3 linked regions of the Nothobranchius furzeri genome follow. The protein of the gene in region 1 purifies or fractionates together with the protein of each later gene. This does not show direct contact. Links are inferred from orthologs where the notes say so. Each region holds a gene or a part of one and is shown in the gene's direction. Other genes may lie near its edges. The genes, in order: erlin2, insig1 and rnf170.

The links.
Region 2: the proteins of erlin2 (region 1) and insig1 purify together in Homo sapiens (affinity purification with western blotting; 4 studies listed by BioGRID and IntAct, with this or other methods). This does not show direct contact. The link is inferred for Nothobranchius furzeri from reciprocal best matches to the Homo sapiens genes ERLIN2 and INSIG1.
Region 3: the proteins of erlin2 (region 1) and rnf170 purify together in Homo sapiens (affinity purification with mass spectrometry; 4 studies listed by BioGRID and IntAct, counting the BioPlex papers as one, with this or other methods). This does not show direct contact. The link is inferred for Nothobranchius furzeri from reciprocal best matches to the Homo sapiens genes ERLIN2 and RNF170.

Annotation. Positions count from the first base shown.
Region 1 is NC_091757.1:29,251,392-29,261,708, reverse strand, and holds the start of erlin2 (erlin-2), read left to right. Parts: upstream 1-4,270; 5' UTR 4,271-4,411; intron 4,412-5,594; 5' UTR 5,595-5,693; intron 5,694-6,634; 5' UTR 6,635-6,661; coding exon 6,662-6,768; intron 6,769-7,181; coding exon 7,182-7,263; intron 7,264-7,591; coding exon 7,592-7,638; intron 7,639-7,788; coding exon 7,789-7,850; intron 7,851-8,459; coding exon 8,460-8,585; intron 8,586-10,317. UniProt on the Homo sapiens protein: Component of the ERLIN1/ERLIN2 complex which mediates the endoplasmic reticulum-associated degradation (ERAD) of inositol 1,4,5-trisphosphate receptors (IP3Rs) such as ITPR1.
Region 2 is NC_091747.1:47,852,119-47,862,476, reverse strand, and holds the start of insig1 (insulin-induced gene 1 protein), read left to right. Parts: upstream 1-5,431; 5' UTR 5,432-5,546; intron 5,547-7,020; 5' UTR 7,021-7,173; intron 7,174-7,268; exon of another isoform or gene 7,269-7,271; 5' UTR 7,272-7,303; coding exon 7,304-7,364; intron 7,365-7,445; coding exon 7,446-7,793; intron 7,794-9,353; coding exon 9,354-9,478; intron 9,479-9,708; coding exon 9,709-9,875; intron 9,876-9,965; coding exon 9,966-10,065; intron 10,066-10,358. UniProt on the Homo sapiens protein: Oxysterol-binding protein that mediates feedback control of cholesterol synthesis by controlling both endoplasmic reticulum to Golgi transport of SCAP and degradation of HMGCR.
Region 3 is NC_091746.1:47,852,019-47,862,575, reverse strand, and holds the start of rnf170 (E3 ubiquitin-protein ligase RNF170), read left to right. Parts: upstream 1-3,484; 5' UTR 3,485-3,681; intron 3,682-5,473; 5' UTR 5,474-5,489; coding exon 5,490-5,629; intron 5,630-5,795; coding exon 5,796-5,871; intron 5,872-6,136; coding exon 6,137-6,251; intron 6,252-8,373; coding exon 8,374-8,447; intron 8,448-10,466; coding exon 10,467-10,557. Other genes in the region: gpn3 (GPN-loop GTPase 3), read right to left, coding at 1-85, 183-307, 433-600, 2,829-2,937, 3,071-3,118. UniProt on the Homo sapiens protein: E3 ubiquitin-protein ligase that plays an essential role in stimulus-induced inositol 1,4,5-trisphosphate receptor type 1 (ITPR1) ubiquitination and degradation via the endoplasmic reticulum-associated degradation (ERAD) pathway.

The DNA of each region.
Region 1 (10,317 bases):
TTTGAGAGCATGGGAAATGATCACTTCTCACGTAGTGGTTGGGAAAACTTCTCATAATTGATCAGTCACTGTGTAATTTGTACACATTACTGATTGAAAGAGCTTTAGTAACTGAGTTTAAGCGGTTATGCATGACATGTTATCTAACCATTATCAAATAATACAGTGCAGGAGGTGTTTGATAAATTGTGTTTATTCCCAGGTTTCCTGAAGGCAACATGAAAAATGGGCCGTCTTCAGCCTCCAGCAGCCTGCTGTCACTCATGATTCCCCGCCCCTCTCTGTGTAGCCACGCCCACCAGGCCAAAACAGGGCCAAAAGTCTGTAACTGAAAAATACAGATCCGAAAGTGAAAAAAAAAAAAATCTGAAGCTGAAAGAAAAATCTGAACCTGAAGAATTTTTTTGTACATTAATTTAAAGGATCTGAATGTGAAAAAATTTAATCTGAGACTGAATGGATTTTTAAAAAAACAATAATTAAAAAAAAATTACTGAAAATTCTTTAGTAAAGTTTACTCAGAAAAATTCTAAATAAAAATATCATTGGGGTTTCAGTTCTTACAAATATTCCAAACGTTTGATTTTATTTTAAATCCAAGTCTTTCTTTTTCAAAGTTCACTCTAAAAATGTGACTTTTGCTTTCAGTTTACATATTTTCAATTTCAAATTTTTCTTTTAACTACACAAACATTTTGGCCCTTATTTAAGCCCATATGTTACAACCTACAGCTGACACAGCAAAACAGTTCCTTCAGCTATTCAGAAACAGCTGCTCTAGATGCAAACTAGTTCCAACCTGTGTGCCTGGCGACATCTCTGGACTGGGGCGTCGGTACTGCAGTTAATCTACCGAACCTCGGTGCCCAGAGGTCATCTGACCTCCCTGACCTCCGAATCCGTGGAGAGGGTCTCCAAAGGAAGGGTGAGGTAGACACACATGATTGCGTCTGATGCCGTTTTGATAAGAACCAACTTCATAGTTTGATGCAAACCAAATTCTTTTCACACCCAGAACTCAGTTCTTCTAGATACAAGGCTCTGATAAACACACACCATTCAATCACCATATATCACATCCCATCCACTTAGGTTCATCCATCACAGTAGTCTTAGTTAACTTGTCATGTTTTTAATTGTTTAATTGTTGTCTGAACTGATATGAAGTGTGTTTGATCCCTGAAAAAGCAAAGAATCCTAGAATCGTCTGATCAAACATTCAAAGACCAGAGTGATACTCTATATTTATATAAAATATCCCAGCTTATTGGTCATAAGTAAAGGTAATATATTAAGCTTAAAAGCAACAATATTTAACCCTACGTTTGGTTGGTTGGTGCAGATTAATGTTTATAACTGATGGCTTTCTGGTTTTCTTTTCCAATAAAGTTACTGAACTGTTATTTGTTTTATATGTGTTTCCCTAAACCTCAATGCAATGTGTCATATATGGAAATAATAACAAGTATTATTTGTTGGTTAGTGAATTTTGAGAAAGGAAGTAGTGGCCTTCATACAAAATTACAATAGTTTTGACAGTTTAAATTTCACATGGTTTATGTGTGGTTTCCAGCGTAATCGCTCAGCAATAGTAATTCCAATAAATTTTATTTCAGTTACAATTTCTATTGCAACATTGTTCATTGTTAAATTGCTACTTGGATTTCTGGTCATATTATAATATATTTGAATCAAACTATTGTTTAAATGTGTGTAGGTCCTTCTCCGTCACTAGAGAAGCTGTTCCAAATGGTCTCTGCTACAAAACACAGTTGTATCATCAGCAAAAGAACACAATTTAGAGGCTTTGAAACCAAACAAATGTCATTAATTTATAAAGTAAACAATAATGGACTATGGACTGAACTAAGGATGAAAGAAAATATCAATATGGCAATATATCGTGATATTTTTCCTGTGATATTATATCAATATTCAAAAGCCGTGTATCAAATATTTGGAATAATTTACATGCAAACATTCATGTGTTTTCTTTTCTTTTTTGGTGACCGCTAGTCAGCAGCAGTGTGCAATGGGATTTGTTTCCACCATTGAAATGTAAATCCCTCTGTTATGGTTCAGATATCTCATGTTAAACATGTTAAGTATCAGTTTGGACCGTTTATAGAATTTTCCTACAATTTATTCAGTCTAAAAAATCGCTAATATCGTCTGGCTGAATGTATTGCAATATATCACGATACATTGTATTGCCTCCCCGCATCGTGATACCGTATCGCCATACATTCATCAATACACATCCCTATACTGAACCCTGTGGTACTCCACACGTAACCTTCAGATTACCTGAATTTGCTGTGTTAAATTGAACACACTAGTCCAATTCTGTAGAGCTAGTTATCCAATCATGTGCCAGTCCTCTAATACCATAACAACTTATTCAATAGTGATGTGTGATCTATGGTATCAAATGCTTTCTGTGAATCCAAAAAACACCCCAACCGTGTGTTGTTTGACCTCTATTGTATTTGTTATTTGTTTAACAAAATCAGTTGGAGCTGCCGATATGATTTTTCCTGAATGCAGACAGCTGGTTGCAGAATATTTGGTGTTAAACTATGAAATCATTCAACTTTTTCTTATAAATATCCTCTGAACTTTTGAGAAGTGTGGTATTAATGAGATTGGTCTATAATTTGAAAAGACGTATTTATCACCGGATTTGAATAATGGCATTGTTACAAGACAGAATTGAAATCTTTGTTCAACAGGCATCATTTCTGAAGGAGATCTCCCATTGATCAGGGACAGAATACAAATATAAGTTTAACTATACAATCAATGATCCTTATTTTCAAAAATGTGTCAAATTCATAATCATCAGTTAATTTGTTAATTTTTCATTTCTGAACTATAGTATTTCTTCTTCATTTGTATTTTTGATCAAAGTAGAGTCAGTATTCATTGACATTATTATCGTAGGAAAACATGAGAACTAAATAGGTTTTACCCACATTAACAAAGTTCTCATTGAGGTGATCTGATTTAAGTTTATTTTCATTAATCATTATTTGAGTTGAAATAAGCTGGATACTCTTTAACAACCTTTTGTTTCACTATTTCATTTACAATCCTCCAGGTGCATTTAACATTAGTTCTGTGTTTTCCTATAAATTACAATAACACTGCCTTCTGAGGATGAGATAAACCCTTATATAAATATTTAGATTTTACTCCATCCATTTACTCTACGGAGAATTGGTCTCCATTCCCAAAACTGCTAAATATAAATGAATAATAACAAAGCTCTGGGAGGACCAGGCTGCTCCCTCTCTGTAACCACTGAGATGAATGCTGAACTCTAACAAAGTGCACGCTGCAGACTCATAAATCTGCCTTTTACTTGAATGATGTTCCAGCTTTAATGGATAGTCGTGTTGGCTCTCGGACCCAGGAGCTCATTTTACATTGATGGACTGAATTTTGCACTTTTATGTCATATTGGAAATAAAATGTTTACAGTGTTGTAGCTAGGAGAAGACCGGACAAAACACACGACGAAATGCCCAGTGGAGCTCATGAGTCATGCAAGGAATCACGCGCGCGCGCACGCACGCACACACACACACAAACGCACAAACACACACACCTTGGTTTGCTCTACGTTAAAACGCACTACATCCCTGAGTTTCACCGTCAACATGACACATTACATTCTGCTGGTTTCCCCTCCATCCTGATGGAGGCCCGCGCGCTGCATAACACTCGCGCTCTGCAGCATCAGCACCAGCCGGATCCACCAATGGCTTCCACACAGAGGCCAGCGGTGGCTGCTCGGTGCTGCACGACTGACTTCTGCAAAGAAGAATGAATATTCCGCAAACGAACAGCTCAGAGTAACTAGAACGAACGCATTGGACTCCGCCATCGTCCGAACCGCTAACGGTCTGGAGTCAGAACCAACAAAAGCCACCACTGACACGTCAGCGCCGACATCACAGTCCCCCCCCTTGTTAGCAGACGAACACAAACATATCACATCCATGCATTATACCCTATCGTTTCTGCCAGCTGATTTCAAATGTAAGCACGCGCTGTTTGGACTGGTGCGCGTGCAGGATCACCCCTTCAGGATTCCTGTTGGAGTCCATGGAAGAGGACTGGGAGCGCCCTGCAGTGACATAAACAACGAGCAGAATGGGCCACAGCTTCTTTGACAGGACCCGCTGAAGGCGCACACAGCGTTCATGCACGCGCTAGGGGAACACCGTTAACGCCCAGTCGGTTTTGTCTGCAGGTGAACTCACCTCAGCGCATCCAGGGACGACGGTCGCTGAGCGGCACACCCACAGCCTAAAGCCTTCTCCGGTTGATAACGACGTGTGTGCTGGGGGCTGACTCCACCGCCGCTCCTTTTGTCAGGCTGCTCCGGGGACTCAGCTGGTACCAGGTCAGTGGGCCCTGGTGTGTGTTTTTTCCATCGCTCAGCGCGCCTGGTTCAGCCCACTGCCACGCCTTTCCAGTCTGGTACCCAAACACCCAGTCAGTTGACTGCAGAGGGAAGCTTGGCACAGCTCTGGATCATTGTGATGCTGAGGCCCATGCACGCTGGTTTGCTTCCGCTGTATCCTCAAACAAAACAGGTCTAATGTAACAAGAACATCTCATCCAAGGCGCCACCTTCTGTTATAGGATACCCTGCGCTGCAGACACACAGGAACATATCAGATAGGCCTGCTATGCAAACAGAACATTTCTGTATCATTTTTCAGGGTGCAAATGCAGCTCACTGTCCAGACTCCAGCCTGCATCAACTTATATTAAAGGCAAAAGCTAAATCGGGACTAATTTTGTAATCATATTTCAAAGAACGGCTCGACGAAACGTGCTTTATTTTGGAACTTCGGGATTAATTCATTTATTATTTTATTAGATCAAAACAAAATTATTTCCTTTAAAAATGAAAGAACACAGCAAATGCAATCATGAAAACAAATAAAGCACACCACTCACATTTAACATATTTAGCAGAGACAAGCAAACTCTGCATGGCTCAGACACATCTGTTGCGAAAAAGTAGGCACTTTTTTTTACTGCAGTTTTTCTCCAGCTGTTGTGCTTTTCTGTTGTAAATACGCATTAATCATGAATTCATCTCCGTCCATCTTGTAGCTGCATTATTAAAAAAATATCTAAAAATAAATAACAACATAAAGCCCAAAGGGGTCTGCACAAACAGAAGTGCTTAATCTTTTGTCATTTTGCCTCTCTTTTTTGTTTGTTTTTGAAGTCATGCTAAAATCTCATTAATAATTATAAGACTCATACTATTTATAATTGCTGACGTAAGTAGATATAATTAGTTTGAATGATTTTAACTATCATTTTAAAATTGTGTACTCCTCATTTGTGGAATAAGCTTCTTTTGTTTTGATAAACATTTATCACACCTAGTTCAGATAGTACCAATTTTTGTTGTTGTTATTATTATTATTATTATTGTAGTTTTGCCTATTAAATAATTCATTTTCGGTTTAATTAATTGTATCTGGTCTTTGTTCTCATTACCCTCTGAAAAATAGCTACCGTTTACACAGCCCAATGCTGAATGCTGTTTTGTGACTGTCCACCAGAGGGCGCTACGGCGACGCTGTTGACGCTGAGCAGTTGAGAATGTAAACAGAATAAGAAGCTGTTCTGTGTGATTTGCCAAAGTCACACAAAAATTAAAGGTAAGAGCAGAGAACCAACGTAAATGAGTTAGCCGTTTTGTTTTTTACACACGTGTCTGTTCTTGCCAGTCTTGTAGTCTCGTTGCATCGTTTCCAAAGAGAACCAGACGTGCTGGAACTGTGTTGCTAATTAGCACTTTAGCTAAAGCTCTAAAAATGTGGCTTTAATGTTGTGGTTTGACGCTCAGCTGATACGTGTGTGTTCTTATATAAACAGGTGTGTAACTCAAAAGTGGCTCCTGTCTTTGAGACTTGAGTAATATGATTATTTATCATGCTAACGGCTTACGCTTCTATCACACGAGTCCGTATTTAGTTTAAATATTTACACGTTTTAAATCAACTTTCTTTTAAACCTCGCTCACGTACTTGGTCCCACGTTTGATGATTGTATTAAAGGTTTTACATTATTGCCGGTATTTCGGCTTCAACAAGAGTCCACAAAGTGGTCATTTTGATTTAAATTATCTTGAGTTTGACCAATTTATTACCCAAACGACTGAAAACCACAGGGGCTCGGTCAAACCCAAACACTCACCACTCATGTATAAATGTAAGAAGAAACACCAAGGAGTTTAAAAACACCTGCTGATCTGGAAACGAGACCAGTCTTGTGCCATAAGGTCACCAGATTGTGTCTGCAAATCCTTAATCTGAGGAGATCCTCTGACTCTACTGCTAAACCACCGACCTCCATGTCTGTTTTCTCCTTTTACCTCATTATTCCTAATCATAATAGGGGATTTCATCCATTCACCGGTTTGTATTCATCTCCAGAGAGGACACGATGCTGAACTTTGGCCTAATCCTCTACATGTATTCCTAAACCCAGGCTGAGAGTAGTTTAACCGGCTCGTTTGTGTTGCTGCAGCACAACTCAGGACATTTAGTGTCATCATGTAGCTGAAAGGTCGGTGTGATACTCCTGCTCGCTTTTACAGGCTGCCTTCCACCGACTGCTTGCCAGGATGGCTCAGTGGGGTGCCGTTGTCTCTATCATAGCTGCTCTCGGAGGAGCAGCTCTGTTGGCCTCGGTGCACAAGATAGATGAAGGACACACAGGAGTGTACTACAGGTGAGCCTGCAGGATGCATTTACTTTTGTGTGTCATAAAAACGAAACCACAAAGATGTGATTGCATGCTACCTGTGTAATTACTGTGAAAACTGTAGCGGTTAAGCATTATTCAAGCATGTTTTATTATCCTTATCATTGGTGAAATAATCTTATAGTGTTTTCTTGATTCAATGACGCTTTTTATACAAAATAACTAATGGATTTCTTGTTAAATGAATCAGAAAAAGTATTTTGTCCCATTTCCACTGAAGGTGTAGGTGTGTTATCGGGGCACATCAAGCACTACCTTGGAACTGTCATCAGACTTTTTTCTGCCTTTTTATAAATAATCACAGCCCTTTTCCTCAGACTCGTTTGTTTTGACTCGTTCTCTTTCATAAATATAAGTGTGTGTGCATGTGTGTGATCCAGAGGTGGAGCTCTCTTGACTACAACCAGTGGCCCAGGTTTCCATCTCATGCTTCCATTCATCACCACCTACAAGTCTGTTCAGGTACGGATAGTTGGGCTCTCAGCTTTTGCACATCATTAGTGCCTCTTAACACATAAGTGTGTTAGCAGCCAGAGAGTACACACACTTTGCGTTTTGTGACAACTCCCCCTACACATACACACACACACACATACACTCCAGTTCTCTCTAGAGTGTCTAGAATCGAGTTCTCCTATCAAATGGCGTGATTTCACTCCCTGCTGATGGATTTACTCCCATAGCACCTCCTTTCTGGCTCGTTTAGTTTCATAATGATATCATTAATGAAACCCTGAGAAAAGAACATTCTGAACTTGTCATCAGATTTAGTTTTTGTGTTGCCTTTCAGACCACTCTGCAGACAGACGAGGTGAAGAATGTGCCCTGTGGTACGAGGTGGGTGTGCAGTTATAATTAGCCTGATAGGATGATCTAACTTGTATAAAATAGTCCAGATACACTCTCACACAGTGAGTGTACTGGTTTATTGTCACCTTTTAAAACACTGACTATGTTTGAGACGAGATGTAATGTTGTCTCCTTCAGTGGAGGAGTGATCATTTACTTTGACCGTATAGAAGTGGTGAACTACCTCATTCCCTCAGCAGGTAAAGAATAAACCTCTGATCTCACCGCTGCAACAGCAAATCTGCTAAACAAGCTAGCTTAAAACATCTATAAATATATTGTGAAAATAAAAATAAAACTACAATGAAAAAGAAAGTGAAAGAAGTGGTTCTCTCACGTTTGTCTAAAAACCTCCACCAATAACATGGCTTGGTCCAAAACCAACCATTAGTCTGTCCGGTTGTCGGTCTCGCCAAACCGCCACACTTGCACATTTACTCAATACTCGTTATGCACTTGTGTCTATAGCAGCAGAGCGCCATTGGTGTGAGAGGCTCTCCACTCAGTATTATCAGAGAAGGAGAAACAGCCGGCTGCTACCGCTTCAACTTTAGGACAAACTACCAGAGTCCCAAAAAGGTGAAGCCACGGACAACAAGAGACGTTCAGCTCAGAAAACAGTGACTGGTGTTCAGCACTTTTCCTTTCCTCTGGCGTCGTGGGCTGCGGTACCCGCTGGACGTGGCCTTCAGGGCTGATAGCTGTGTTAGGGTTTAAAAGCTAGCTTGTTTTGCAGATTTGCTATTGCAGCTTTAACCATGGACAGAATAATCTGTGTGTCTAACATCAGCTCTCCTCTCCTTCCTCAGTCTACGACATAGTCAGGAACTTCACAGCTGACTATGACAAAGCCTTGATATTCAACAAAGTTCACCATGAACTTAACCAGTTTTGCAGCGTCCACTCGCTCCAGGAGGTGTACATCGGCCTGTTCGGTGGGTGGAAGTGCGGCAGGATCGTTTAAAGTTCCTATTCTCGTTCATCTCGCTACATTCCGACTCTCCTGTTCAGGAATCGGACGAGCTGTGTTAGGGTTCAAATCAAAAGAAGAAATAAATGCCCTGTATTCAGATAGTGCCTTCTAGAGTTCTACAACCGCCCCAAAGCACTTTACAAGACACCGGCCATTCACACACACATTCACACGGTGGTGATGAGCTACATCATAGCCACAGCTGCTCTGGGGTGCACGGACAGAAGAGGGCTGCTGTACAGACACCACCGGCCCCTCCGACCACCATCAGCAGGCATGGAGGGGGAAGTGTCTTGCCCAAGGACACAACAGCTGAGACAGACTGAACAGGATGCAACCTTGCAACCCTCTGGTTATAGGCAGAATAGGACTCAAAACCAGGTTATTCCTCGTCACTCTGCCGTTGTGTCCTTGGGCTAGACACTCCGCCCTCGTTGCTGCCTCACCTCTGCATGACTTGCTTTGGATGAAAGCGTCTGCTAAGTGCATCAACATATAAATCCTGATGCTTTACTGATGACAGTGGCAGAAGAGGTAAATGCCTGCCCTGTAACCTCAGGGTTGCAGGTTTGAGTCCCACCCAGTCTGTCTCTTCGGTTGTGTCCTTGGGCAAGACACTCCACCCTCCTTGCCAGCTGTTGGCGGGACCGGTGGTACCAGTATTCAGCAGCCTCGCCTCTGTCAGTATGCCCAGGGCAGCCGTGGCTACGATGCAGCTCACCACCACCAATGGGTGAATGACTGGTGTGTTGTAAAGCACCTTGGGGGGTCCTACTCTACATAAACACAGGACTTATTTTGTCTCCACTTCTCACAAGCAGCCATTAAAATCGGGTACTTTAAACAAATGTGACCTTTTTTAACCAGACTTAGTATAAGTATAGTAAAACTACTTCAGCTTAAAAACACGGGATTATAATTTAAGGGGATCTAAAGACACTGGGATTGATGTTCTCCTGTAAAATATTCATGATTATGGTCTCTGTTGTTGGTCCTTGCATCTGCACACATCTGCAGCAGACTAACTCTTCTGTTTGCATTTGTGCAAAAGTTGCCATGGTCCAGCCTAGCAATGCACGGTATAAGAAATAACCAGTATGATTACTGGTATTACTGGTATTACAGTATCATTTCGGCCTGTGGTATAGAGTAACATACTACCGGCTAACAGTCAGAGCTTCTACACGCCAAAGTGGCTGAGAGTGCACTTCTCCAGCTTTTGCATGAATGTTGCCAATCAGGGTCCGCTCTGGACGAAACCACCACTCGGCTCTTATCGTTGCTGTTGGTTCCTAAAAGTGACTCATTCAGTCCTGCTCTCACCACCCAGGAGGAGGTGACGGTTGGAAAGACGTCTGACATCTAAACTGGTCGTAGTTTGACACACATATTATAACACAGCTGTATTTAGTCAGCACCGGTGAGGAGAAACTACGGTTTTCCATGACTGGTCTGAATCGGGCCTGATCATGAGCTGTGAGTCAGCATTCTGCCGTCATCAACCCTTTCTCAGCTGGGCTGTAACTAGTCAGCTGTGTGTGTGTGTGTGTGTTATTTTAGTGTTTTAGAATTTTTTGTGGTCATGTCGGTCTAAAGAGCTGCTAAACTCCTCTGGAACCAAACCAGAACATTTCTAACCCCCTGAGTGGAGTATTTCACTCCAGTGGCGTCTTAGAAACGTTCCTCCCCAATAT
Region 2 (10,358 bases), on another chromosome or scaffold:
TGCTGGAAATGACATGAAAATATCATTGATGGCTTAAATTCATTTCAAATGTGTATCTCAGCTCTTTGGACAGGAATAAATGCCATGCTTCATGACACATGATGAAGAGGGAATAAGCAGAAAAAAGCCTAAACCTTTTTCAATTTAATCAACTATCCGTCGAGGGTGGATTAGGATGTTTCCTTTCATAATTTCACACAGGCTTGAGGTGGAGGGGGTTGTCAGGCTTGAGTTTGATGGATCAATTTGCGTACTCTTCCAGCGGGCTTTTCCCTCTTCGTTCCCACAGCAAAAATCCCTCTGAGTCTAACAGCGTCATCTATGACACGCTTGATCTGCTTTTCATTTGAAGTGTCGTCGCTTCCTGTTTTATCTGCTGATGTGGCGAAGACCTCCCCAACATTGATGGTTGCTAAGAGCTGTTTGCGTTATGTTGAGGCATTTTCATGGTTATCCTTGTAAGCTAACCTTCTGATTCTGGCCTGTTTTCCATTAATTTCTGTGAGATAATCTAGATTTATAGTAAATTATTCCAAGATTTCATCTTCCTGTTGACGATAAAGACTGGCGCTCTCGACACCCACACACAGTCACTGCTGTAGGCTTTTATCCTGAGGCCTCTGGATCGTTAAGAACTCATTCATTTTGGGAAACTGAGACTCTACGCTGAGATGAAATTGACATTGTTGAATTGCTTCTGCACTTTCACAACTCTGGTGCACCCTTCTCCATCTCCTTTCCTGACCTCCTTTTTCTTGCCTTTTTAAAAACACGAGAGGCTTTGCTGATTTATCTTTGTAAACCACATGGCTCTCTGAAATTAGAATGGAGTGAATATGACTGATGTCATTATCTATGGACTGCAGCTTTTGTCGTCTCCAGCCTACAGATCAACGATGTTGTGTCCAAGCATCTTTTTGAAAGAAAAAAAATGCCACAAGAAACCTGTTTTGGCTTAAAAATACATTCCTTCTTTCATCATCGTCGTCATCCCGTAAGACATGGTTTATTTATTCGAGCTCTAAGAAATGAAACTGGGGAGACAAACGCTAACTTTTCAGCCCTCAACGTTCTTTCATGCTTTATTTCTTTGCTTAAAAAGTGAAAAAAGCTCTAGTGGAGTGCAGCTGTGACATTTATATTTAACCACCCCGTTATCGCTGCCATTTTAGAGATGACTTTTCTCATTCACTCCAAGTGAAACCAATTTAAAATCGGTCAGTTTGAATGTGCAGTCTGCAGACGTAATACTTTCAAAATGTCCTTCTGTAGCTGCTCCAGTGAGGCTGAAAAGGCTGCTTTATCTTTCAAATTGTGTCATGACATGGTTAGAACTGATCGCAGGAAGCTCCTTTTCGTATGGATTTGCCACCACTTCATTTGCAGGCTTGTCAACAGCAACACTGGTCCCCAGCCTGCTGTTGTAACCTTACAGGAAGTCTGTTTTGTAGCGAGTCGCTTCTTTTTTACATTTTTTATCATCTTCATGTGTCATGGTTTCACTAATTCCTTCATTGGGCAGAGAGACAATTAAAAAGGCATGAGAAAGGCTGCCCTGACAAGGGTTTGATAACACTACCTGGTGGTTGATAATGTTTTTGTGTGTATTAATTTATCTGTAAACGAATGACTACAATGAAACTTTTAGGTAGCGTACACGTAGCCACGTTTTTGTAAAACTGAATATCCTCCTTGGGTCCACACCACCTTATTTTAAGCATTTTTAATCTATTGTGAAGCACATTCATATGCATTCTAATCCTATAGGTGGCAGTAGTTCCCCAAATTGTCAGTGTCTTTGCAGAAAAACCATTGCTTGGATGTGGAATAGCTAGACAATGTCCTTCACCTGTGGTCTTCTACATAGGGGAGTAACTGAGCTTGTAAAAACTAGCAAGTGAAAATAACCCTAACCCTAACCCATTTTTGTCTCGGGCAGTGATGTTGCAAAGCCTAAAACCCTCCTCTTTTTCCACAAGCAAATGCTAACAATAGAGAAGCCACAAATCCCAACCTTGGTCAAAGTTTTTTAAAAGATTCTTTTTAGTGTCATCTATCTTCACTTTTGTGTCAAGTGATAGGCCTTCAATATTATGACATTTTCATTTCCTTTACTGTGTAGATGTTTGGTAAACCTTCTTTAAGTGTTCAAAGTAGAGGTGGGCGAACGTTTACAGACACCATAGAAGTGTGTCTATTACTGACTTAATTTTACCAGTGCAAATATATTACGAATTTAAAAAAAATAATGAAAAGGTGTGTGTAGGTTGCCAATGTTCCTATTATGTAATGGCATCCTAATGATTGTTCACTGGTTGGGAAGCCGATATTTAACTTTGGATCGTTTTTTACTGTTGGCTTCATCAACCAACTCACGTGCACCTCAAAGCCATGGGCGCCCCCAAGGGGTAGTCAGGGGAGGCCATGCCCCCCCCCCAGGAAAAGCCAGTGTTAACAAATAACGTTAATGTTCAGTCAAACAATAAATTGATCTTGTTTATTTAAGACATATTGTAAAACAAAATTAAAATATTACAATTAATGAGTAAAGAAATAATCAGAATTAAATAATTACATATGTTTCTCATGCTCACCATTTTAACTTTTTTTTATCTCTATAGTTTATTTTTTAACACAGCAACAGGTGAATTAACCTACAAAAATATAAATTTTTCATTTAAATTATGGATAACATTTTAAATAACTGAAATGTATTTTTCTGAAATGTTTGTGTTTGTAAAATTTAAGTTAACTGTTTTGGATACGTAGTTATTTTAATTAAAATGAATAAAGGAGCAATGCAGTACATCGCCACAAGCTAAATTCTCCCAGCGTTACCATAAGGACCAATTTGGTGTGCCACCCCAAAGATTTCTTTGGCCCCATCCGGCCACTCCATCAACATTTTCTGGAGGCGCCCCTGCCCAAAACGAGATCTTGAGTTCTGGCCTCGATGTTGTCACTAAGGCAGGATGTACAGTACCATATGTGGACAGCACAGAGCAATGTCACTATACCACGCACAGCTACGCTTCCCTCAAATTTAGTTGCAGTAATTCCATTACTGAAATTGAGAAAAGGAAAAATGTCTAAGGGAGTTTCACATGTGAGCTGCTGACTACCATGGTGGCTGTTGACTGCCAAACTCCACACATGTGTTTGTTTTACCAAAATTGAACCAAGCTGCCAGGGACCAGTGGATTAATTTTATTTTTAACAGTGCTGTTCCCGAAACTCTCCCCACTAGTCTCAGCGTCTATGCTAACTATTTTAAGCCAGAATGCTTTATAAATTTGGGGCAATATCAGGCGAAGATGGCATCAAGGATTTGTCTAGAAAGAGAGGCCATTTCAACACTGAGATACTTGCCTGAAATTCAAACAGTAAGGCTAAGTTAGACTACTGTGTATGCATGCCGGGACGTTGTCCATCACAGGGATGCTATTTTGGAGAGAGATACTGAAGCAAAACCTACAGTGTCAACACCCCTGCTTCCTTCCACCAATCAACATGCCCCTCATTTGCAATATTATAATGTCTGCCCGGCAGATATCGCGCATGCTGTCGCGAGAAAATGGTTCTTTACAAAAAAAGGGTCAGAAAAGCAGTTTTTATTTTTTTTTATACAAATAATTTTAGAGCCTAAAAGACTATGATGTAGATATCTACGGTAGCAACAGGTGATGACTCATTTGAGATGCTGTGCAGCAAACTGAATGAGGTAGAGTCATGAGACTTTGTGTAGTCATGTGAAACTGTCCTAGCTGGTCTAGCAAGAAGCAAATGACAGTGAGGAAAAGTTTGCTGAACCTACAGCCATTTCCCACTGCTTTTCTTTGTGTCTGGTTTGATGACATCAATTTGGTATCGCGCATTTGTAGTCCTGGATAGATTTTCACACAAAGCCTAAAATTACTTTTGCCCCGTTTGAAAATAAGTGCTTTCTTGGGATCAGAATGTACCTTTAAAATTCAGGGACATCATATGTGAAATCCATCGCACATAACAAACAGGATTAGAAAATATTTTTAGCCCCATTGACTTGCATTCATTTTTTCATTCTTCAGGGGATCACTGGTCCGGAAGTAGATGGGCATGACTTAGGCTACCTATATGGAGACATAATATGATTTAAATGTATGTATCCATAACAATTCTTAAGTTTAAGATAAAACAACCCCAATAAATACAAAGTGTAAATTACTTTCACCTGCTACAATTCTTCTGCATTTGAAGCCACTCATATCATGTAGTTATAAGTAAGTCACATGTTCTAAAGTCCATTTAGCAGCTTTACTGTTGTCTGTTTGAATGACTTCTACGACTATTAACAACTAAAACACTAGAGTTATCAAAATATTTTAAAAGTTTTATCATCTAAACAAGATGCTAACCCTAAACTACCAGTATAGCTAGTTCATAAAACCATAAATGATCCACACTAATATGCATGGTGGGTGCCTTTTTAAGTTTTTTAATTTCGCTAAATTCTTTGCAGAGTTTCCCAATCCCCTATTTACAGGCAGTCATTGTGCAACCTGTTAGTGGAGCACTTTTTCTCTCCAATCATGCACTGATGACACAAGGATCTGAAGCTACGTGGGGCTCTGTGTTTAGTCCAAGTACACTTCAACATTGGGTGATAGCCAAAAACCAGTTCTAACAACCATAATGCTAAACTCAATCTCAGCTCTGCATCTTTGTATAATGAAGTAATAAATGCAACAATATGGGATTTCAGCAGCTCAGTTTGATAATCCCCAAAACAGATTTTTTTCCCCAGCTATCTGAATTTGTTTACTAAATTTGCTGCAGGTCATGCATTTAACCTGTGAATCAGTTTGAATGAAGTCAGTCATCCATGTCATTGGTGCTCATGGTTTTGCAGGAAATATGACATATCTGTTAAACCCTCCCGCTGTCCTAATGGGTGTGACCCCGCGAGGAAAGTTGACCATTGAGCAGGGTTGATGGTTTATCCCTTGGGTCCATGTGGCAGGGGTGAGGTGTGAGCACCACCTCACCCCTGCTATGTGGACCTAATGGGATAAACCATCAATCCTGCTCAATGGTCAACTTTTCTTGCGGGGTCACCCATAAAGACAGTGGGAGGGTTAAATAACATTTTCATCAGCAAATTAGCTTTTTATTTCCAGTTTATTTCTTTGTGGATACAAATGTATTCAACACATGCATGCAGTATCTGTTATTGTGCTCTCCAGATTATGTTACCTAATCTAACCCATGTTGTTATTGGTCCTTGAAAAATGAATACTGACCTTTTATCCAGTTATATGTTGTCTGACTGATATGCAGGAGCGCCACAACTTGCCCCAAGAGACACACCTCCAGTAGACTGACCCAGAGGTCAATAACCTGTTACCAACATCAGAAAAACAAACGCATGTGCTACTAACCCCGTTTTCGACGCATGTCTATATAAGAGCTCCTGTGATGAGAGATTAGTTGAGTTGGAAGATGCTACAGATTTATTGAGAAAAGAAGACACTCACAGTCTCCATCTTAGAGGAATCCTGTTCTGACTGGTAAAAGACAAACTATTTTCATTTTGAAAAGTCATCGTTGTTATTAAAACTGCTTTTGATAACCGGTACAAGCACTTTAGAGATGTTGTTACGAATTTTTTACCCATAAAAGAAAAAACGGAAAAACTCTCTAAAGCCTCTGTTAGACTTTCTAGAGTTTGGGTCACAAAGCTTTAAGGCTGGGGTCTTAAAATGTTTTCCTGAATTCTAACATGACTTTAAAATTTTTTATTCCTGTAATATTTTATTGTAAATGGTATAAAGGTAAAACTAAAATTTATAATCTGAGTTTAACATGGGGTTAGGAGTGTGTATTGACAAAAATACGGCAAAACAATATATTTCACAATACAGGGGTGACAATATTTGCAATTTTTAGGACTGAAGTTCATTGAAAAATTCAGGCGAGATGCTTCCAAGACACATCTGGTGTTACTGCGAGATGTCACTGTTCCGTCATAAAGGCAGTAAAAAAACAGATGACTAGCAGTCAGAGATTTTTTTACCACACAAAAGAAATACAGTAAATGTTTGTACATAAATTCTCAATTAAAATCAATATATTGTTTTTAACTATCAATCCAGCATACAAAATGTAGCAATGTTCAAGTTTATTGATTTTTTGTGTGTCCCTAATATATATATATATATATATATATATATATATATATATATATATATATATATATATATATATATATATATATTCCTAGTACATTGTCTTTGTAAATTTTCATTATGCCCTTGCTTTTAGTAAAGTATGTATAGTTCAATAAGATATATTGTAAGTCTTAATATCTGTCATTTTTTTTATCTGAAGGTAAAAAATGTGGGAACCATTGGTCTACATTACACCATAACGTCATGCATGGATGGACCACCATCACTATAGCCAGCTTTATTTCTTAGCTCTATGACCAGTAGAGTTTTTCTTTTTCCTGTTGTTGGTTTTCAAAACTTTTATTGGTCTGACTGACAGGACATTAAGATCAAACAACCTAAGATGTCCCTAGGGTGAAGAGTAGTAGGTGATCACGCCTTTGCAGCTGCCACCCCACAGTGTAAAACATTAGCCTGGGCTGAAAATTCAATGGGTTCCAATCCAATATGGGTGTTGGAGTGAATGCAAAACTCATGTGATAATTTGAGAAAACTATATGTAATATGGAAAACCTCCAGCACTGGCATTTGACTAGAATAAAACCTGAAAATTTGATTCTATTCATTGTACTTTTGTAAGACGTTTAAATGTTATCAGGTTTTAGTCTGTTCTGATCAGATGTAATCTACTTTTTGCCATATACTTTGCAAAACTGATTTTGTAGATTATGAATTAACGTTCATGATCAATGTTAATGTTTGACTGTGTCCCTTTAAATGTGTCCTCATATATTTAATCACCCCATTTTAAATGTTATGTAAAACCAGAGTTACATGTTTCCCGCTATTTAAAGTATTTCTACTTTCGTTTCAGCCCTGCAGCCTCCTGATCAGTCTGTCTGAACCGGACGACGGGGCGGGGCGTTGGTGTCACGTCATATCAGCTGCCGCGCTCTGATTGGCTGCCGCCTCTCACCAGACACAGCTGAGATTGTTTTCTGCAGTGGAAGTCCTGGTTCTTTTTGGGGTACGAGCTCTTTTAGCTGTAGAATGAAGCAACGCTGTGTGTTTACTAAATATGATGTGAACAAACGACGTGACGGCTGTCCTTGTCGGAAACAGCAGGAAAGCAAAACGGGGATCGTGGCTTAACTCGAATGAGCTGGAGTGCAGGTTTCGTTTTGGACCAGACACTTAATTCATCTGGAGATCAACAAGGTAAGGACCAAGAATCGCGTCATCCTTGCCTCAACGTGTCTTTTTTATGTGAGATAATTGAATGAATCTGCTTTCAAACAGCTCAGAAGTGCCAAATGCCCAGACTGGAGGACCACTACTGGAGCTGCCCTTGTTCACCAAAAGCTAAAACTAAAGATTCATTTGGCGCCAGCTGGTTCGCATCTAAAGCTGAAGAAATGATGTCCATCACCACCAAGGTGCTCAGCACTGCCTACGGCTCCCTCCACCACGGCAGGACCACCAACCTGATCCGAAGGGGTCTCGTCCTCTTCACGGTTGGGGTCTTCCTCGCCCTGGTGCTCAACTTGCTGCAGATACAAAGAAATGTCACCCTTTTTCCAGAGGAGGTGATGACAACTTTGTTTTCGTCTGCCTGGTGGATCCCGCCATGCTGCGGTACAGGAGCAGGTAAGTGGACCATAAACGGAGGTGAACTTCATAACTGTATTAGTTTACAGCTAATTTGGGGACAAAGACAAGCAAAGAGGGGAGGGGTTACCGTGGAGCATTATTTATTTAATTTAAAAATGCTAACGAGGAGGATACATTTAATTTATAATTCATTTGTAGGCATTAAGAGTCTGGAAAATCATATTTTATTCTTATTTGCACTTGCACGCTAAAGTAAGCACCCATTTATGTCATTTAATAAATCAAACGCGGCTTTATAACAACACATTTTGAAAATCTTCTAATTTGTCGTTTTCTATCGTGTCCTACTGCGATACGTTGTCATTCGGCTTTACTATGTTGTTGTTGTAACGCTGTTGTTGTTGTAACGCTGTTTTTCTTCCGTCGGGGAAGACTTTTTATGGTTGAGTGGCAGTCTAGTATCAAAAGACACGACTAGTTGCAGACGGTAGAGCTTCTTGGCTTCTGATTGGTCAGAGTCTACGTGAGCTGTTCGCTCATTAGCTGGTGTCATAACGGGTGAGATAAGGGCCGCCCCCTTTAAGGCCAGGAACCCGGAAATGAGAGGAGGTAGAAAAAACGCGTTTTGCTCCTCCTTCCATGTGCTGCTGAGCAGAAAACTTTTAGCTTTTTGTCTTTCAGCATGTTTAATTTACTCCAGCTTGTTAAACTTTAGTTTAATTAAATAGCTGTTTTCCACTTCATTTTTGTGCACAACAAACAGATTAGGTTAGTCCTGGTACTTTTAAATCACCAGTCAAGCATGATCATTGGTTAAATTGTGTCTGTTCAGTTATGCCAAAAATTGGAAAAAATCAGAACTTCCCTCGCTAGATATTTCAGACCAGTTACATTTTTAGGTTTTAAAGGCATTTATAAAGAAATTACCACATTATTTCCTGGCAGATTTAAAATGTTTCACCAGTCTTGACTTTTAATCCGTTAAAAAAAGTGAAACAAAATGACTGTGTCTAATTTTCACTGTAGAAGTTATAGCTAATTATTGTAACACTAGGTTTAATGAAGAGCTGTGATTTAGAATACAATTTGTCCTCATTTAAAGTTACCTTAGTTTTTGTTAAATGCCCAAAGTACTTTTTTAAAATTTAAATATAAAAAGGACATCATTTCTAGAGGCTGGACAACGTCTTTGACTTAAACATATTTTTTGGTCTTTGGTATTTTTTTAAATTATTACAGCTATTTTAAAAAAAGGTTGACTACAAGTATTTTATTTTGCTGTGAAAGTCTGTATTAGTTTCTTTTTTTTCATTTAAATGTGGTAAAGTAATAAAAAGTCACAATCAAAAAATGTATCTGTATTCCACTTCATCAAATACACAATCAAACAAAAAAAATTCAATAAATAATAGAACATTTCTTTGCTTTTTTCTTTAAACACTTAATGATATCTATGTGAATGGATGTGTCACAAAGTAAAACAACACTTGGTCAGCATATAACCAGCTCTGACAGGATGTGTCCTGTTTAGTTCAGAGAATTTGTGCTTATCTTGCATAATTCCTGACTTTTTGTTCCATTTTTTTCTATTTCCAGCTGTTGTTGGCCTGCTCTATCCCTGCCTCGACAGCCATTTGGGGGAACCGCACAAGTTCAAGAGGGAGTGGGCAAGCGTCATGAGATGCATTGCAGTGTTTGTTGGCATCAACCATGCTAGTGTTGTATCCTTTTGTGATGTTTTCCCTAAGTAATCCTTATTTTAATGCTAGTTTTTTGTCCCAGAAAATTGGAGAAAAGTGGAAAAATATTCCACCTCCTGTTTGGATGAGAGTAACACAATAACTTTTGACACTAATGGTTGAACTTGAAACCAGGCGGTCGAAACAATATTTGAACAAAAGCACATCATCATCATCTTGTTTAACTTTGCCCTTAACCCACAGTAACACAGAAACTAGACTTTGCCAACAACGTGCAGCTGTCCCTCACACTGGCGGCCTTGTCTTTGGGCCTCTGGTGGACATTTGACCGCTCCAGAAGTGGGTTTGGTCTGGGCATCACCACGGCCTTCTTAGCTACCATCATCTCACAGCTGCTGGTCTACAATGGAGTTTTTCAGTAAGGTCTTTGCTTAATTATGCAGAACCAGAAATGTCTTCATTTGGAGAAGTAAAGTAAAAAGCTTTTCTTTTTTTGTTCTATTTTCAGGTACACATCTCCAGACTTTTTGTACGTGCGTTCCTGGCTCCCGTGTATTTTCTTCTCAGGCGGCGTTACTGTGGGAAACATCGGACGCCAACTTGCCATGGTAACATTTTCTGCCATTTTTTAACTGCTTCCCAGTGATGTATAAAAATGTTGCTGCACTGAAATATCGCAATATTTTATTATTCTGAATCAATATTCAAAGGCAGTATCAATTTTATTGAGTATTTAAATGCAAGTATTTATTGTATATGTGTTGCTATTCAAACTTCAACTGCTAGGGGGCAGGATTTTTTACTGCCTTCATCATATACATAGACACTCTGTGGATTAGCGCTGCCTATTGGTGCTGGTGTAGCAGCGGGCTGCCATCTTGGATGAATCTCTATTCTTTCG
Region 3 (10,557 bases), on another chromosome or scaffold:
GCAGATCCATCTTTGTCATGACGTTTACTTGAGGAATTTCTAATGACACCATGGCACTCAGGGCAGCCATGACCCCAGATATAAACTACAGTTGAAACACGTAAAAGATGAGCGCACCTTAGTTTAAAACAACTTGCGCTAAAGAAAATGACACAAACATAAAAGAACAGATATATGGTTACCTTAAATGACTCCACCATGAACTGTGAGTCGACTAAAAACACCCCACACACCCGAAACTCCCACTGCTGGAGCTGCTCCACCAGTTGTCTCATCACAGGGACGTGTGTGTAAAGTTCAATCTGACCTGTTTAAAGTAAAAACAACACAAAGCTTCAAACTTATGTAATTTAAAAAGGACTTACCTTTAGATCAATTAGACCAAACTTAACAGCCAATACTAAAGTTATGTTTGTTAAACAGATTACTCACCTGGGCAGTCAAACAGAATATAGTCATCTTCCACATGGCCCAGACTTTCCTCCAGCCAGTCAAAGTTGTTGGCAAAGTACTCCATGCAGAAGACCAGACCTCCGTTAGGGCCAAATTTCAGAGAGTCATCCTCCATCACATCATCGACCTGGATGAGCTCACGGATGTCTGACAAAGCAGGACTGCAATCAAATATAGTGTGCTTCACGGAGAAAGTAATTAATTTAAAAAATCCTCCTGATGTTACTTGTACTTGTGAGTTACCGTAAATCCTCTAATACAGGCCCGGGCCTGTATTTGACTCAAGCTCATCAAGCTCCAGGCCTTTATTGGAAGGAGGGCCAGTATTAGAGGCAGGCCTCTATTTCTATTTGAGCAAAATGAACTATGGTTCGCTGGAGTTTTTGACAATTAAAAGTGCGCCCACATTTTCAAAGTTAAACACATTTCTTTTAACAACGGTAGTTCCTGCTTCAGCCCTCTCCCCCCTCCCCCTGCTTCAGCCCTCTCCCCCCTCCCCCTGCGCAGCGGCCGCAAACTCACTGATGCGCCTGCAGCCTCTCGGAGTTCCTGCTGCTCTAAACATTAAAATAATTATTTCATTTTCTGTTCCTCACTTCTGATGACCTTCAATGGTGTCTGTTTGTTGCAACAGCAGGTACAAAAACTAACTTGTTTTTATTTGACTATTTTTCTGTCCTGTCTGTTTATTATCTTCCTGCATCTCCTCTCAATCCTAAAGAAAAACTGCTGCCTGGGTTCATATTCACCTCATGAGTTACCTTTGAACTGCAGTTCTAAAAGATCTACCGACCGCAAAAACAGCGGAGCGCTTGCTGTTTGGCGGCTGTATCAGTGATCAGTGCGTCGGAGGACAAGGTGATGCGCGCAGCGTCCCGCTCCACAGCGTGCAGCGAAACACATCAGGCGCAAATAAAAGACAGAAAAAATTAAAGGAAATGAACTGACATGAACGATCGCGTGTTAAATTAGTTTTTGAGGTGGCGACACCTGATTGTTACTGTGGCCGTGCTCAGGAGGCAGATCTACCGACCGCGAAAACAGCTGAGCGCTCCCTGCTGTGATCTGTGCGTCGGAGGACAAGTTGATGCGCCCCGCTCCACAGCAGCGATACACATCAGGCGCAAATAAAAGACAGAAAACATTAAAAATTAACCGACATGAACGATCGCGTGTCAGTACCTACGGTCTGGCACTTGAGTTTTACCCCCAAAAAGAGAATGTGATCATACGATAATTCAATAGGGAGCGTGGTTTCACAGACGCGGAAGTGAGAGCGTCGGTGAAACGCCGGCTGATCTAGGAAACCCCCGAGCGTTCGAGCGTCAACGAAGTGACACGGAAATGCCGGGCTTTCCAGAAGTAAGTAAGATAACTTACTATGAGCTGATAGTTCGTTGGATTGATCGGTAGGTTGGAAACTCTGATCGTGAATCTGAAGAAACGATGACTGAGTGGTGAGCTGGAAAGGCAACTTCCGTTTATAGCCGCGGTTTGTGACGTAGGTGCGACGTGAAGGGAATCCCCGCGAGGGGCATGCTGGGAGTCCCTACTTCGCGGATTTTCACCTATCGCGGCCAGGTCTGGAACGCATCTACCGCGATAAACGAGGGATTACTGTAGTTCATACACACCCTACTGCTGCTCTCCAGAGTGTTCTGCAGCATAATCAGCACGTTCTCTTTGAACTTGATAGTGTAATGACCTGGCTGGGGTTGTAAGCCAGGTGCATTCTGGGTATTGTGTTATATGTGTTTCCTATCGTTCTGCTAGTTCCTATGTGCTGATTTGCGTGTTGTGTGAGTGTTATGTAAGCCACAGGGAAGGTGATGTGTGTTCTGTGGAGTGGGTTGAATTAGCATGGTTAACTGACACCATGACTCTGTGTGGTAGGAGCGTGATAGAGGATCGTGTCTGTAGCGTTACAAAGCGTTGAAGAAAAGGCCTAATAAAGGTCTGCGTGAACCTCTACTGCCTCCTGCTGGTTGATTTGGGAACTATAACCCTGCCGCTGGGACGCTCGTACTTGCTTGTTACCACATGCCATCCGGCCACAATAAGAGACCGGCCATTATTTACCTCCGCTGACTCTGACACCGGCCAAAATTGGAGACCCGGCCTTTAATTGAATACCGGCCTGTATTAGAGGATTTACGGTAATCCTATCAGAAGTAATTGTTTTACTAAACTGAATTTAAATAAAAAGACCAATCCACAAAATCACAATCACAAAGTGTTTCCATATTTTTTATCCGAAACTACAAGTGATCACCATGTAACAATGAAACCTAACCTAATCTATTTGAATTTCTTCATTTTACACAATTTCTGTTTTCCTATTAAGCCTTTCTGATGTGATCTTTAAAAGTCTTTACCTGCCATCACAGGGTAGTCAAAATGCTCAGCAGCAGGATCCAGATTTACCACCTGAACAGATCGGTTTAAGGCCTCTGCATGCTGGACCAAGGTGGAGCAGTAAGTACTCTGAAATATCAGACCAAAAAAACGAAGACAGAAGTTATAGTTTGTGTAGCACTTGCCTTAGCTCAACATGTTAGCAACGCATTATAACATAAGAAAGCATTTATGACGTCCAGCGTGATCAGCGATGACTTACCTTACCGCTGCCCGCCGGGCCCATCACTAGTTGGGCATAACGAGGCATTTTATCCCACCTTTACCACACCTGTGACCTGGTTAATTTAGTTCACGTAGCTTCTCACAGTTAGCTAACTGTTGACCTGAGAGTTTTTCTTCTGCTTTTCCGTAACATCCGGTTGCCTGCCTCACTACTGCCCCCTCTTGATTAGCTGGTGAATTATCACATTGAACCGCGAACAAAAATTCAAATGTATTTATTTATCTTATAACGTGACCTAAACATCTAACAATTTCTTCAATGTGTAAAGAATAATTATGATTTAGCTCATTTGATTAGCCTTAACAGCAGATTTTTGTTGTATACATTTTAGCTAACAGTAGATGGCGGTAGAGGGTATTGACAGAAAAAAGAAGGAAGTAGAAGGTAGCTAGAGAACACGAGGAAGACACAAACTACTACATCACGATGAAGTGTTGCAGCAACAACACAGTCAGAAATACTTGACCTGGTCACTTGTCTTCATCATTTAACTTTATTATAAAAATGGCTAAATGTTTAGACAAAGTGAGTTGATTGACAAGTTAAGCTAGTAGAAGAACTTTCGCGTGAAAGCGAAAATCTTGTTGGTAGGTATCCAATATGGTTTTGTATACAGTAAAGCATCGAGTGTTTATTTTATTGGGTTGCTTTGTGTGTTATGGTTTGGCTTTAAAGTAGCTGCGCATGCTAAATCAATTTTGTTAGTTAGTCAGAAATATTAGCTTCGAGAGTTCGATTAATGATTCAAACATTTGCCATTATCTATCTGGGAGTTTTCGAAAGTGAACTTTACAGACTCGCTGTTACTGCAGCGGTGTTCACGATAACACCGCCCTTCACTATCAAACGAAACATATTTTTACGTTTTTCAGCGTTCACTCTTTGTTTTATTGCAGAAAGGGAAGTCGAAGACAGCGAGAGGTGTTTAGTAGCTTAGATCAAGTCATTATTAGCTTCAAACCCACCGCAGTGCATCACGGGTTATTTGATCATTTTTCTTCTTAGACGTTTTTAATTAAACAGCAATGTCTAGCTAATCTTCGTGACCAAGGAGCTTTCGTAAGTAAGTATGTGTTATGTAATTTTTAAAGTTAATAAATTATTTACATGAATGGAAAAGGTCACAACTTTAAAAGCAGCTGATTCAAGTTATGTTTTAAATCTAGCTTTAAAGAGCAAGTCACTCCCTACCAGATTCTTACTCAACTCCCACATCCTGTTTGAAAAAATGCAACAAATGCTGTTGCCTAGCAGACCAAGAGGGTGGAGCCACTAACAAATGCACACACAGGCTCACAACAAGTTTGTGTCATCATATGGTACCAGCTAATGTTTTAGGGTACGTATTAGCCAATAGCGATGGCAGATTTAAATTCAAATGCAGTGCAGTTTTTACCCGACAACGTCAGAACACTGACAGTTTTAGGCAGAAATTTTAAATTTTAACTAAAGTGCAAAACTATTGACTACACGTGTCTGCAGCACGATTAGACATGCATTTATGTAGTTTATCAAAATAAGTTTATCAACTTTTTCTTGCAGATAAACTATATAAATGAGTGTCTAATCATGCTGCAGACACGTGTAGTCAATAGTTTTGCACTTTAACATTAAAACAAAACATTACAGTTATTAGCTTTCTCCTCTGACGTTCAGAGTATAACGGTTGCGACGCCATGCGTTATGTCCGCGGAATGATGCATTGAGGCATCCTCGATACAATGGGCGGAGCAAGATCACATCCGGGAACTTTGAGCGAACTTGCATACTTAGGATTGGAACAGTCCTTGGGCCATCGTTGATGACGTTTCACAAGGATGTGAGTACACACAAGTATGCATATTGAGAAACAGCCTGTGTGTGTTTGTTAGCAGCTGCGCCCTCAGTGTGCTAGGGAACAGGATTTGTTGCATTTTTCAAACAGGAAGTGGGGGTGGAGTGACTCTGGTAGGGGTGACTTCACTCAGACTTGAGTCAGGTGGGTGAAGTGGGACAACTGTGATCTTCTCTGCTGCTCTCACTATTCACAGCAGAGATTTCTGACAGGATGCTGTGCATCTGCCGTACCACACAGTGGTGCAGCTGGTCATGATAGGGATAGGTGCTCTAGCTCTTCGTGATCTGATAAGAATGTTTTGTTTTTGGCCTACAGGAGACATATGAGTATTAATTTTCTTTACAGCTTGAGATAACTGCGCACTAAGCACACAGTGTCATACGTGATAAAAAAATACACTGTCACTAAATAAGGCCAAAAACGGTGATTTTTGTGTTTGACACTAATATCAAAGAGTTATATATCTGAAGAAATTGGTTCAAAACAAAATATTTGACATTAAAGTGTTACCTGTATTTTCTCCTTGTTTTCTAAAATTCCAGGCTATGAGTTTGGACAATGGAGGATAGTCAGTGTGGGGACTTGGACTACCTAATCCAGGATGAGGACACCATCATTGAGGGTGTCAGCAACCAGGTTTTGTTCGTGGTGGTCCTCAGTTTCACCTTCCTTGCAGGCCTTCTGACTTTGATCTTCAGGTAAGCTCCGAATCAGATGGTTATCAAGAAAAAAACCTTTAAAATTTGTTTAAACATTTGTTGCAACTTATTAAGAAGTAATTTTACAAGTCGTGTATTTGGGCTAATATTAGACTTATATTCATATAGAGGAAGTCTGTATAATGTTGCTTTTGGTCCCTTATAGGCAGGAGCAGCAGAATATTCACCCTGAGAATCAGGAGCATGTCCGGGCCGTCAGGCAACAGCTCCAAACTGATCAGGTAGAATCTGAAGGAAAACTACATTTTGGGGCTTTCAAGTTGATTATTAATGCTCAAAAGGTTGTAGAAGGCAGGAGAAAGTAGCTACAGCTCCTAAAAGCCACAGAAACACATCAATACATTTCACTTGTTAAAAAATTTGCAGAAGCATTGTCTTTCTTAGAAAGATTTTATTTTTAATGACTGTAATTTATTTTGCATGCTGGTGATGAACTAAAACAATCACTTTTATTATAAAGCAAATGCCAACATGTGATCTCTGTAGGATGAAAATCCTCAGACAGAAGCCAGGCTGCAGTATTACACAGACATGTCCTGTCCTGTGTGTTTACAACAAGCTGTTCTGCCTGTGGAAACCAACTGTGGACATCTTTTCTGTGGTAAGAACATTGAGGGTGCTCGCTGCAGAACTACAATGGTGGAGCTGCACCAGAGTCAGCCCTGCCCATTCACGCAAACTCAGCCTAGCCCACTGACTTCTTCTGTTTTTGTTTTTCAACTTTATCGCAAACTGACCTGACCCACATGAATTACGGCTGTTACTAGTTTACAGTCATTAATGCTATGTTCTATGCTCCAATTAAACAAGATAAATATAACTTGCTACATGACAAAGCCTGAATATATCCCGAAAAGAAAAGGTTTCTTATAACAAATATCTGCCCACAGCCGCTCTAACAAAACCCACATACAACAGCATTTAATGCAATTGAATAGGTTCTGGTAGTCCAGTGGCAAGACCGTCTGACTTAAGTTTTGCTTTCCCCTCAGCTGATGCTGGTTCGACTCTCGGTGGGGTCGTCAGCAATCTATTTAGCCAACTGAAACATTTAATTTGTTTATATTTTAGTTGTAATGTTTATTTTCAGCAAAATATTTATGTCTCTAAAATTTCTTTGAATTTGGTCATTCCTAAACAGCATTTTAGTTGAAACTCTGCTCACAAATGGACTCACACTGGCTAAATAAATAAATAAATAAACACATTAGTCATTATATGTTAAACGGTATACCAGTAAATTGTTGTAAACATAGTACTGGCAAGTATGGCTAGAAAAGGGGTTTTAAACTACTTAATAATTCCGCTACTGTGAGACGAACCTGCGCAAAACTGCATGTCAGCCTGACTCCATAACCACTTCACCAACACATCTGATAAAATATAAGTGGCGTTACATGTAATTGTGCCATCCAGTGTGTCTTTGTAGATGGGATGAATGGTTTATTGGCGGGGTCTCAGTTGAAGTCATTTCAGAAATAATTTGTCAGAAAATTCACAGAATTTCCAGATTTGAGAACCAAGACCAGACCCGCTTCGGAGGAGAGGACTAAATTGAAGCTGAGATGGGAGGAAAATGCATGAATGAGGCTAAAAATGGCTTTGGCGTGTTTCTTATGAGGAAATGACAATATAACATGGTAAAATGTTCTAAAAGTTAGATTTTTCATTATATAGAACCTTTACAAAAACTGTTCAATTAACTTCTCAACTCCGTCCTCAATCTTGCATTTTTTAGCTATAACACCCTCTTTGGTTCCAGAATGCTATCAAGTCTGACAACTGGAAGGAATTGGACTGACTCTGATGGAATGGGCGGGGCTGACTCTGGTGCAGACCCACCTTCTGGTGCAGCTCTGCCATTTTGGTTCTGCAGCGAGCACCACTTGGGAATATTGGACAGGTTCTGACCATCTGCAGTGAGCTAAATAGAAGTCATTAAAACAGGAGAAAGTTAAGAATTGACCTTTGTTTCACCAAAACAACTTTTAAAGACCAAGTTCAATGAAAAATATGTTACTTGTTTTTCATGCAGGCTGATCTCCTGCATTAGCCACCGAAAGAAAATAGACGGTGTTAATCTAGGATTTGAATAGCCCAACAGATCTGTGTCACACTGTCACTTAACATTCATGGACTCGCCCATCTTGACTCATGACGGGGAGGCAGGTGTTGTTTGAGCGTCCAGGAAACAGCAGAGAATGTCTCGGCTAGTAGAAGCTAATCGTTAGCATTAGCAACAAGGCAGAACTCCTTCAGGTTTGTGTTACCTGTTGAGATAAACCATCAATGTTGCAAAGCAAACAGAGTCAGTGGTAGAGTCCTGTTGCTCTTAGCCAATCTGAGGAGAGGTCCAAATATCAGGTAGTAAGACTCCAAATCCTGTCATCTTCAGCTCCACTCTTCTCTAGCTAACTTCTACTCCTTCAAACAGGAGCATGAGAGTTTTATGATGATCTCTGGGGGGGAAAAAAAGCCAAATTCACATTTACACTAGGGACCACTGCAAACGGGTGAACTTGGTCTTTAATGTTTGTTTTTTTTTTGTTGACTTTTGTGTGAACAACTGAAGCTTTTAAAATACAAGAATAGTTATAGACACACTGTCAGGCTCAGTTTCATCTGTGTTTGAGTACATCTGTTGACTCTGACTCAGACTAACCTTTATCATAAAAGTTACCTTTGAAGTTGTTCTAATGTGTGTTTTCATTACTTCTTCATAGGTTCCTGCATTCTAGCTTACTGGAGGTATGGCACCTGGCTGGGTGCCATCCACTGTCCAATCTGCAGACAGATGGTGAGACTTAAAATATGTATTTTAATTCTGAAGTCTCTGAGTTTTCATGTCAGTCACATTTAGTTTGCAGCTTTCTGAACTCACCTTCAAAGTCAGATGGGGCAGGCAGCAGGTGCTCGTGTGCCTAATTTATGACTAGCACATCGAGAAGAGCTTTACTTTTTACAGAAACACCCCGACAATGTGAGAACAACAGCTAGGAAATAAGTTGTTTTAAAAGCTTGTGGCACTATAGGCATAGTATGTATTGAAGATGGATTATTCTCAGTTATCTGCAGTTAACCGTAGAACTGAGGTAGACTATCAGCTCTTCTCTTTCTAACTGTAGGAATGCATCGTACTCCCTTTATGGAGACTTTTGTAAGTAAAGCTGAATCCAGGGGCCTCATTTATCAACCGTACTTACGCACAGATCCGTGCATATATCGTGCGTAGGAACTAATTTACGCATTGTGTGGTATTCATCATTTTATACCCATGCGTGGAAATGTTCCTAAATATAAGAAAACTTCACATCATGCGTAAGAACAGCATCTAGTGGTAGAAAGGGGGAACCGCAACACTGAAGTTCTCAGTCGTCCACTCATGTTCCTCATCCACAAATAATTTTACTCATTAAATAAATATTTTTGTGGAAAAACAGCTGATTCACATAATTGGTGCTGAAACACCTGATGGGAATCTGACATTGTAGAATGGATTTCTTGTTTTTTGTAATCACAATTTTTACTCTTTTCATTTTTATGATGTTTCTATTTTTTTATTAATTAATATTACTTTTCATTAAATTTAATTATATTTTTGTCCATGTGAGACACCTCATGATTTTGCTTGAGATGCACTCGATAAAAGAACGTTTCTTAATATTTAGAGCGAGTCACCCTCTACAAGAAACTTACTCCACTCCCACTTCATGTTTGAAAAATGCCACAAATGCTGTTGCCAGGCAGACCGAGAGGGTGGAGCCGCTAACAAATACACACAAATAGGCTCACAGCAGAACTGTGACATCATAATGTACCAGCTAACATCATTGTGTACCTCTTAGCCAATAGCGGTGGCAGTTTTTACCTGACGATGTTGCAACACTGACCGTTTTAAGCAGAATATTTAAATTTTAACTAAGATGCACTAAAGTACCAAATTATTGACTACACGTGTTTACAGCACAATTAGACACTCATTTATATAGTTTATCAGCAGAAACAAGTTGATTTGGGGGTGACTTGCTCTTTTGACAGAGCATGCTCTCTGGAGCGTTTCTGTGAGCGCGCTGACAGGAGATCTGTCTGGAGCTACGTTGGGATTTGGGACCAATTGTGGAGCGACATATAAACCTCATAAATTCGATTCCAGTCCATATTCTATTTTAATTTACAACTACGAGACCCCCCCCCCCCCCCCAAGAACCTCCTCTGCTCCCTGATCATACACACCGCGTTTGCAAAGTAACCAGACTGAATGACAGCTCAGAAGAAACTGCACTCTCGGATATTTCCAAATAAAACAAACGATCCAGAACGACATCTTAAATGTAAAATATAAATGACAACCCGTTACTCTACGATTTATCATGTTAAAGTTTTTATTTATTTCTGGCAGATACCTCTCCTCTGTCCTGCCTGCGTTTATAACCTCTATAACTGGTTTGGTTGTTCTGCACTTCGTCAGCTAGTGCTCGATCTCCCAACAGTTTTTTTTTTCTCTGGGTAGAAGACAGGGAATCCCCTCACTGCTGAGGACATAGCATGACCAAACATGGTTAACTGTTTCTGTATGTAAATGACTGAGAACGGACACGAACACCTGGGTACGCACAAGTGGGATTTATCATCAGATGATTACCGAAGAACGTGCGTATGAGAGGCCACCGCATGTTTCATAAATCAGCATTTTGACTGTGCATAGGACCATTGTAAATTTTGTTCACAAGAACGAATTTAGGAATATTTCTACTAACGTTTGATGAATGAGGCCCCAGGAGCCCTCACCTCTGTATGGTTGGTCTTTTCTCCCCAGGTGACACTACTGTTTCCATTATTTCATGAGGATGCTGCTCCTCCGCGGGTGCAGGATGGAGAGGCAGAACCTCAGTTTATATTAAGAGACG